2 linked regions of the Danio rerio genome follow. The protein of the gene in region 2 interacts with the protein of the main gene of each other region in a pairwise test. Links are inferred from orthologs where the notes say so. Each region holds a gene or a part of one and is shown on either strand. Other genes may lie near its edges.

Region 1 (4,122 bases), on a different chromosome or scaffold from region 2:
AAAAAGGGTTTGTGCTGTTAGTAAGCTGTTTGTGTATATGGCTCTAGGACAATTGTGTTGTTGTCAGTATAGTTATGCAATGACCATATTGTTTCTTAAATGTACAAATTATGCATTATCTAGTTAAGTGTGATAATTTGCTTTCAGTTCCAGAACAGAAATGTAAAGTCATGTTACAAATTTTAATTTTTTAAACATTTTTAAGTTTAAATAATCTATATTAAAACTTTTTTAAAATTTTTAATTTCAGGGTTGATTTTAACTTTAGTTGAATATTTTAAATGTGATTATCTTGTCATACCTATACAAACCTATTTTTAGAAATAAATAAATTATAGTCAGCAACAAAATGTTTTAGTTTTAGTTTAGTCAGATTTAAAAATTTATAAATAACCCTATTTTTATCACTCCATAAATGTGAAAATATTCAATACAAGCAGAAAAAAATGTCCCCATGTACTATTAAAAAATATTTCTTAAAACTTTTAAAGCCTTACGCCTCTAAAGATATGTATTGCAACTGAAATAATTAGACGCATACTTGAAAAATGAATAGAATCCTCTTGTTAAGTTGTGACGTATCGTGACATTTGGAATCCTGTTTCTGGGTCCAAGCCACTACCCAATTGAGAAAATATTTGTTTATGACCACTTTTTAGTCATATCACACATTAAAGTGAATTTTGTATAAACTCATAGTGTAAATTTAATTCTCTGGGCTTGCTGCATCACAAATACCAAAATATATGCAATATATATGATTTTTGAAAGTATTACATCGCTTTGTAAGTGTCTATCATTATCATTTGATGAGTCTCCCCGTACAGTTTTATTGGACCCGGAAGCCGCTTTGTGTGACGTCACACTTAACAAGCGGATAAATGCTTAAATGCAAATTTTCTTTCCACCAACCCAAAAAAAGAGAAATTAAGAAAACTAATTCTCAATAACTGACCAATGTCTGAATAAACTATGATCTTGCCTATAGCATCATCCCATAAATGCAGTATTATCTACAATAATATCAACAACAAAACTCAGTCCAACAGCAAGCACAATGCTGCATCCTTACATTTCTCCATCTATTCATCTCTCCATTAGGCATGGAAGCTGATCTCTGTATCATCACCCCTGAAGTATGTGTCTATGTGAAGGCGTAGCGTCTCCACCAGGTCATGGGCATTGCATCATCCATCAGAAATGCCTCTGGCAGCGCAGTAAAGCCCGGCTCTAGGACTTGAAACCCAGCAGCGGGTAAATCAGCACCATTCCATACTTTCAATCCCCAATCGCCTTGACTGTGTGCCATCCATCATAGCAACAGTCATGACAATAGTTGCTTTTTATAAAGTAGTTTAAATCAGCTCATCGTCCAGCACAATGTAAAATCTTTCTGATCATCCCAGAGCTTTGTATGTCTGCTTTGCTCAGTTTGCCCTTCTCATGACTGCAGAAAAGCTGCATCTACTTCTGTTATAACTGATAGACACTATATTTCACAACATGTTATCTGCATCAAATTATTGTGTACATAATAGCAAGCACAGCTGTTTGTAATTTGAATTTGCAAGAATTCCAGCATTTATTTATTTTTATTCATTTTTTATTATAATATAATATAATATAATGCAATGTAATGTAAAATAATATATTATAATATAATATAATATAATATAATATAATATAATATAATATAATGTAAAAAAATATAATATAATATAATATAATATAATATAATATAATATAATATAATATAATATAATATAATATAATATAATATAATATAATATAATATAATGTAAAATAATATAATATAATATAATATGATATAATATAATATAATATAATGCAATGTAAAATAATATAATATAATATAATATAATATTACAAAATATGATATTACAAAATATAATATAATTTAAAATAATATAATATAATATATGGAGGTTCGTTCCGCTGTGGTGACTCCTGATAAATACAGGCACTAATCCGAAGTAGAGTGAATGAATATAATATATGCAAAAATTGTATTTTTATATTTTAGGGTATTTTATAAACCAAAAATTTATATAATATAAAAATAATCATAATAAAAATGTATGAAATAAATTTCCTGCAATTTACCATACAAATCAAGTATATCTAAATAAAAACATATTAAATAATAGAAATAAAAAAGGATACAATAAAATAGGTATATTCTACTTCATTTCAGTCCATGTTTATTTTAAGTAACACAATCAGTTTAATTTGTTTTATTATAGTTATCTTTTTATAACACATAAACTGATGATTTTTATGATATTATTTTATTGATCATAAACATATTCATTTGTAGATTTTGCTTATCTTGATAATTTACCTAATTAGACTCAGAAGTCCCTGCATAAACGCTCAGCTCTAATTCTCTCTCGCTTTCTTTTGTTTTGTATGTATGTATATATAGTGAAATGCTTGTTAGTAGCGTATATGGTGAGAGTCATATTTAGACTGACATCCACAGACTGATCAGATTAGAACCACAACACAGCGTGGCTAGTTTGTTATCAGCATGTTTGTTAGTAATGGTGATAAACAGCATCCTAACACGCATTCTCCTGCTCCTTGTGCCACAGTTTTCCATCAGACTGGCTGCTCACCTTTCTTCGTGGGCTCAGGCATGTTGAGCCGTTCTCCAGCTGGAAGTGTTCAGAGGTGAGTGTGTGGCACAAGCTCTCCGTTAGCCAGAAACGCAGGTCAGGAACGCTGTGGAAGTCACTGAGGATGTGAGGGAGCGATGCAGGAAGGGCCGTGAATGAGAAAGCAACAGATCTGGGGGTGATAAACATATGAGGTTTTTATATAAGGCTCATCTTAGCCACTCCTCACTCTGTCTTTGATAATGGAGCCCAAAAACCTCCCTCCCCTCATGTGCTGAAGTCCTGGGGATTAGAGGAGGCTTGTGGTGGCCTGGAGACACACACACACATGCACACACACACACACACACACACACACACACACACACAGGGGCTTTGGAGTACAGTGCATTGCTGGAAAACAAAAACTAAAGAAGAAGGTATTTGTGTAGACAAGATGACATTGCTTTTAATATGTCACAAAGAGACATGTTAGTTATGTGTTTAAGGCCTTCGATTGAACCTTCAATATAATTTGGTAATGTGTAATCTAATATAGTTCGTTATAGATTTTGAGTCATTTGCAATGTTTTGTATAAACACAGTTGAAGTCAGAATTATTAACCCCCCTTTGAAAACAAACCATTATTTTACAATAACTTGCCTAATTACCCCAACCCGCCTAGTTAACCTAATTAACCTAGTTAAGCCTTTAAATGTCACTTTAAGCTGTATAGAAGTGTCTTGAAAATGATCTTGTCAAATATTATTTACTATCGTCATGGCAAAGATAAAATAATTCTTCTCTCCATTAAACAGAAATTAGGGGAAAAAATAAACAGGGGGCTAAAAATTCTGACTTCAACTGTATATATAGTAATTTGTAATTTTTTAAAATAAAATATGTATTTTAATTTCATTGTTTATATACTTTAATAATAGATAAAAATACAAAATATTTAATAAAAAGAAAAATGTAAATGTGGCAAAGGATAGGATTTTTTAGTTTGTTAAAAGTCATGTACAATATAGTAGAATAATCTGTAATAATGAATTATAATTATTAAAATATAAAAAAGTAAAAATTCTATAATGTGAAAATTTGAATTCATTTAAAAATTGAAAAATCATTTATCATTTAAAAATTAAGAAAATATATTTAAAAAATGATTCATTCATTCTTTTTCTTTTCGGCTTAGTCCCTTTATTAATCAGGGGTCACCACAGCAGAATGAACTGCCTACTTATCCAGCATATGTTTTATGCAATGGATGCCCTTCCAGCTGCAAGCCATCTCTTTGAAACATCCATACACACTTATTCACACACATACACTACGGAAAGCTTAGCCTACCCAATTCATCTATAGCGTATGTCTTTGGACTGTTGGAAAAACCGGAGCACCCGGAGGAAACCATCGTGAACATGGGGAGAACATGCATGTTATATATATATATATAATTATTAACCCCCCTGAGTTTTTAGACCCCCTATTTATTTTTTC
Region 2 (4,206 bases):
ATCATAAACATACAGCCTCATCCTATTTGAGTTCGGCTTCTCCGTATGTTATTATGCGTTAAGACGCTCCAGACTGTCCTACTCAAGAGTATTTGAGTCTTTATGAAAGATATATCGAAACTAGAGTTCAGTTTCACATCACTTTACCTCAATGTATGATCATCAATCACAGGTATTTGTTTCCTCTTACCTGCATGTGATTTTATTTACTCTTTTAAAGTGCTGGTAGCCATTGACTTGCATTATATGAATCACATTTTCAGCTAAAACTTTCCTCTAATGTTCTTTCATGCTGACGATCTTAGATGGAGTAAACATTTATATGCATAGTTCCTTTATATTTAATAATTTGTTCATTATCCTTCACCTTAGTCCCTTTATTCATCAGGAGTCGCCACAGCGGAATCTACCTCCATCTTATCCAGCATATGTTTTACACAGTGGATGGCCTTCCAGCTGCAATCCAGTACTGGGAAACACTCATACACACTCATTTAAACACATACAAATTTTGTTTATTAAATTCACCTATACCTCATGACCTGAAGGAAACCCAAGCGAACATGGAGAGAACTTGCAATCTCCACACAAAGATGCCAACTGACCCAGCTGGGACTTGAACCAGCGACCTTTTTGCTGTGAGGTGGCAGTGCTACCCACTTGGCCACCGTGTTGTCCACTGCTATACCTGCTACACTATACCAAATATGTCTGAGCTCAGTTCGTTTTTTTTAGCTGAATTCTCCTCTATACAGGAGCGGTGTTGTGGCTTCTGTAAACTAAATAATCATCCTGACCTGACCAGCATGCTCAATCCCCTAAGCCTTTTGGGAGAGCGTCCATCAGCTGTTCATTTTTAGCCAGCTCTGTCAGTGTTATCAAACGGACCTCTTTGTCCCAAAGCGAAGAGCAAATGCTGTTTTGAAAGGTCACCGCGAGATCAAATTCAGCCATACGGAGAACAGAAACCGAAGAGAGCATGTCCACGTTAAAGCAAACATTGATTGAGATGGCTATATTTGACAGTAGCAAATGCAGGCCAAATAAGAGGGGAAATGATGCAGAATTAAGGAATTAGCTCAATTGATATTTGGACAAGATTACACATGGGACAATAACCAGTTTTAAGGTTTACCGTGGTTTGGACGTCATTTTTAAAACTGCTAAAATTTTCTGTTGTACCATTCCAACAGTATCAACACAATCTTGTGGCAATTCATAACTTTTTTTTATTTAGTGGCTAATTCGTATGAATTTGTACATCTCATTCGTACAAATTAGTATGATTTGCTCATCTCCCAATGACGGTTGGGTTTAGGGGTGCGGCGGGGGTGGGGGTGGCTTGGGTGCCATGCCTCCTTTTTAAAATTGTACATTTTCATTCGACTGAAGTTGTACAATTTCAAACAAATTAGCCACTAAACTGACAAAACGTAAAATAGTTACATTTTGTCGTGAGATCAGGCTGGCAGTAAATGTACGTTGTTTTGTGTGTGTGTGTGTGTGTGTGTTTTACGACTATTAGTTTTTTTAGTGCAACAGTATTTCCAGCAGAAAAGAACCCTCCACATCAAAAGCTGGTCAGCACGCGATTCAGGAAAAATTTTAAAGCAAATCTCTCGTACACCTACAGCCAAGCATGCTATAGACCTGAACAGTGCAGTGGCTTAATTTATATGCAAAGAAAAGAAAGATTTCCAGGGACGCCTTTTCAAGTTGTAAAGAAATCTGGTTTTGAAACTAATGAAGACAGCAGAAGCCAACGATTTATTGCAGTTATTCAGCCTGAAATGTTTACTGTTCCAAAATATTATAAATGTTTCTTCAAATAAAATATATATTGTGTTTAGAGGGGGTTGTTGTTTTTCCCCCCTGACATTTAAAAAAAGAACATGTTTTGGAGCAGTAATCAAAATACTATGATATTTTTTATCTATCATACCATCAAAATCTTCTACCAGCCCATGCCTGACAAGATTGAGATCACATACAAATATACCCAAACTCAGCATTATAGTGACTATACAGACAAAGATGTGCTTGCCTGCCTGTGATTAACATAGCATCTACTTTATTATCTATTTTGCACAAGCTCTCAAATAAGATTGGTATTCATCTATACTGGAATTACAATGCCTAATCCTCTCAAAAATAAAATAAAACAATGACACCTCTTTTATAAAGTACAATTTGCATCAGGGTATATTAGAAAGCCCTTTCTGTTAACTAAATCCTAACATATACTTACACTGGCTGCATTTATTTGTTAAAAACAGAAATTCTGATACAGTTTTTAAATCTTATATTTTTTTGGAATATTTTATAGATATAAAAATGTCATTTATTTCCAAAGCTGATTCTTTAAGCAGCCTTCTGACATGTTGATTTTGTGCATTTCTCAATAATATACAAATAAAAATGGTTTTACTTTTTACTATTTTCATGAAAAACTAAATTTATCGTTTAGTTGAGACAGAAATGTGATTACAAATACCTTTACTGCCTCTTTTGACAAATGCTATGCTTTACAGCTAAATAATAGAAATTATTTTAGAACAATCCTACTGATCAGTCTTTGGATCTCAGCTAAACCAAATACAATATGCCTGATTAAAAAACAAATGCAAGTGCCAAGAGAATCCACTGGCTGATCCATCAATCGTCACGCTGTGCATCTTTACCTGAGTGCCTGTAGTAGCTCATGTCTGCTATCTGGAAAAACAGAAAGCCTTGCAGAAGTGAAAGAGATGGAAGGATGGATTGATACAGGATACCAAGTATAGCCAAAGAGTTACAGGAGAACTCCACTCTTCTTTTGAAAGTATTTGTCATATATACAGTACTTCCCCAGCTGCCTTTTAAAACCTGCCCCCCAGTTGCCTACCACACCCATCATGGCCTGTCCTCACAAACCCAGTAATCCCACCCAAAGCATCAGCTGCCCACTCCATGTTAGGCTGTGCTGCAAAAGATAAGTGAAGGGGAGGGAGCCGGAGAGAACTAAATTCATCTGAATTCTTGGCTTGTGACATCAGAGAGCAGAATAAAGGAATCTGATCTTCATATTGGAGAAGCTTGTGTTCATTCTGCAATGGATTAGTAAAAGTACATGGCACCACACCTAGAACAACTTTGTTTATCAGTCCTTACTTTGCCAAGTAAACTTTGTGTTGCTATTGGCTTGTCTGATTAAACAATCATTGCAATAAAAATTAGAAAGCAGAGAAAAGAAGACAGTAAAAGCTTCTTAAATTGCTTCTCTGAGGGCTTTTTGGAGGACACTAAAGTGCAACTGTCCTCAGATGCCTTTGATACTCAGTTTGACTCTATAAAACAGCCGTTTCTCCATCTACGCCAAACCATGTTTATAATACAACAGAGTGTGGAGCTTTTCTTATTTCTCAACTTATTCCTAAAGATTGTGATGTATGAGGAAAACTATGCTTGATTTGGAACCAGCTGTAGGATTCTTGTAGTGGCTCATGAATTTGAATGACTAAATCAAAACATACGAATGACTAGAGATAATTAATTATGCAGAGCTGAGTGAAATCTATAAATGATTTCCATGAAAGGACTCGAGTCTGAACTCAAACACTGCAGGACTTTTGAATGTCTACAATATACAAGTGAATGTATAGTAACTTTGCAACTGCAAATTAAAAAACAGTTAATCAGAGTATATTCCAGTAAGTTGTAACCCAATGTTGGGTCAAATATGGACAAACCCAACATTGGATTATTATTTTTAATTAAATTTAAATTACACTTTTTATTCCAATGGTTGAATTTGACCCAACATCGACAATAAATCCAGGTGTAAATGAGATCTAAATGTTTTAAACTTGTATACTTTGGCCATGATAGTCCTGTTTCCTCCTGGTATTGAGATGCAATTTTCTTAATCGGATCACAAGTATTTATTTTGTGCAGTCTACAGTACATATGAATGTTAATGGAAATGACTCAGAGAACAGATCTGTTTTTTCTGATAGCAATAGAATCTGTTAAAACGCCTGTTGAAAACTGTTGGTTTGAGTTGGAATCAGTACTGGCAAGCGAACAATGACAGGGTTCCCACAGATCATGCTTTTCAAAAGGTCTATTCCGGTCATTACAATTGATTTTTTTGTACAAATCATGGAATATCAGGCATTTCGGATTCTTTAGTTTTCATGTATCAAAATTATTATGTTTTTTTGATCC

The links. The genes of interacting proteins can lie anywhere in the genome.
Region 1: the proteins of fhl1a (region 2) and mybpc1 interact in a two-hybrid assay, tested with the Homo sapiens proteins (2 studies listed by BioGRID and IntAct). The link is inferred for Danio rerio from reciprocal best matches to the Homo sapiens genes FHL1 and MYBPC1.

The regions. Positions count from the first base shown.
Region 1 is NC_133179.1:18,380,268-18,384,389, forward strand, and holds the start of mybpc1 (myosin-binding protein C, slow-type), read right to left. Parts: upstream 2,814-4,122; 5' UTR 2,662-2,813; coding exon 2,640-2,661; exon of another isoform or gene 2,616-2,639; intron 1,255-2,615; exon of another isoform or gene 1,102-1,254; intron 1-1,101. UniProt on the Homo sapiens protein: Thick filament-associated protein located in the crossbridge region of vertebrate striated muscle a bands. Slow skeletal protein that binds to both myosin and actin.
Region 2 is NC_133189.1:36,177,062-36,181,267, reverse strand, and holds the start of fhl1a (four and a half LIM domains protein 1a), read right to left. Parts: upstream 2,804-4,206; 5' UTR 2,704-2,803; coding exon 2,682-2,703; intron 1-2,681.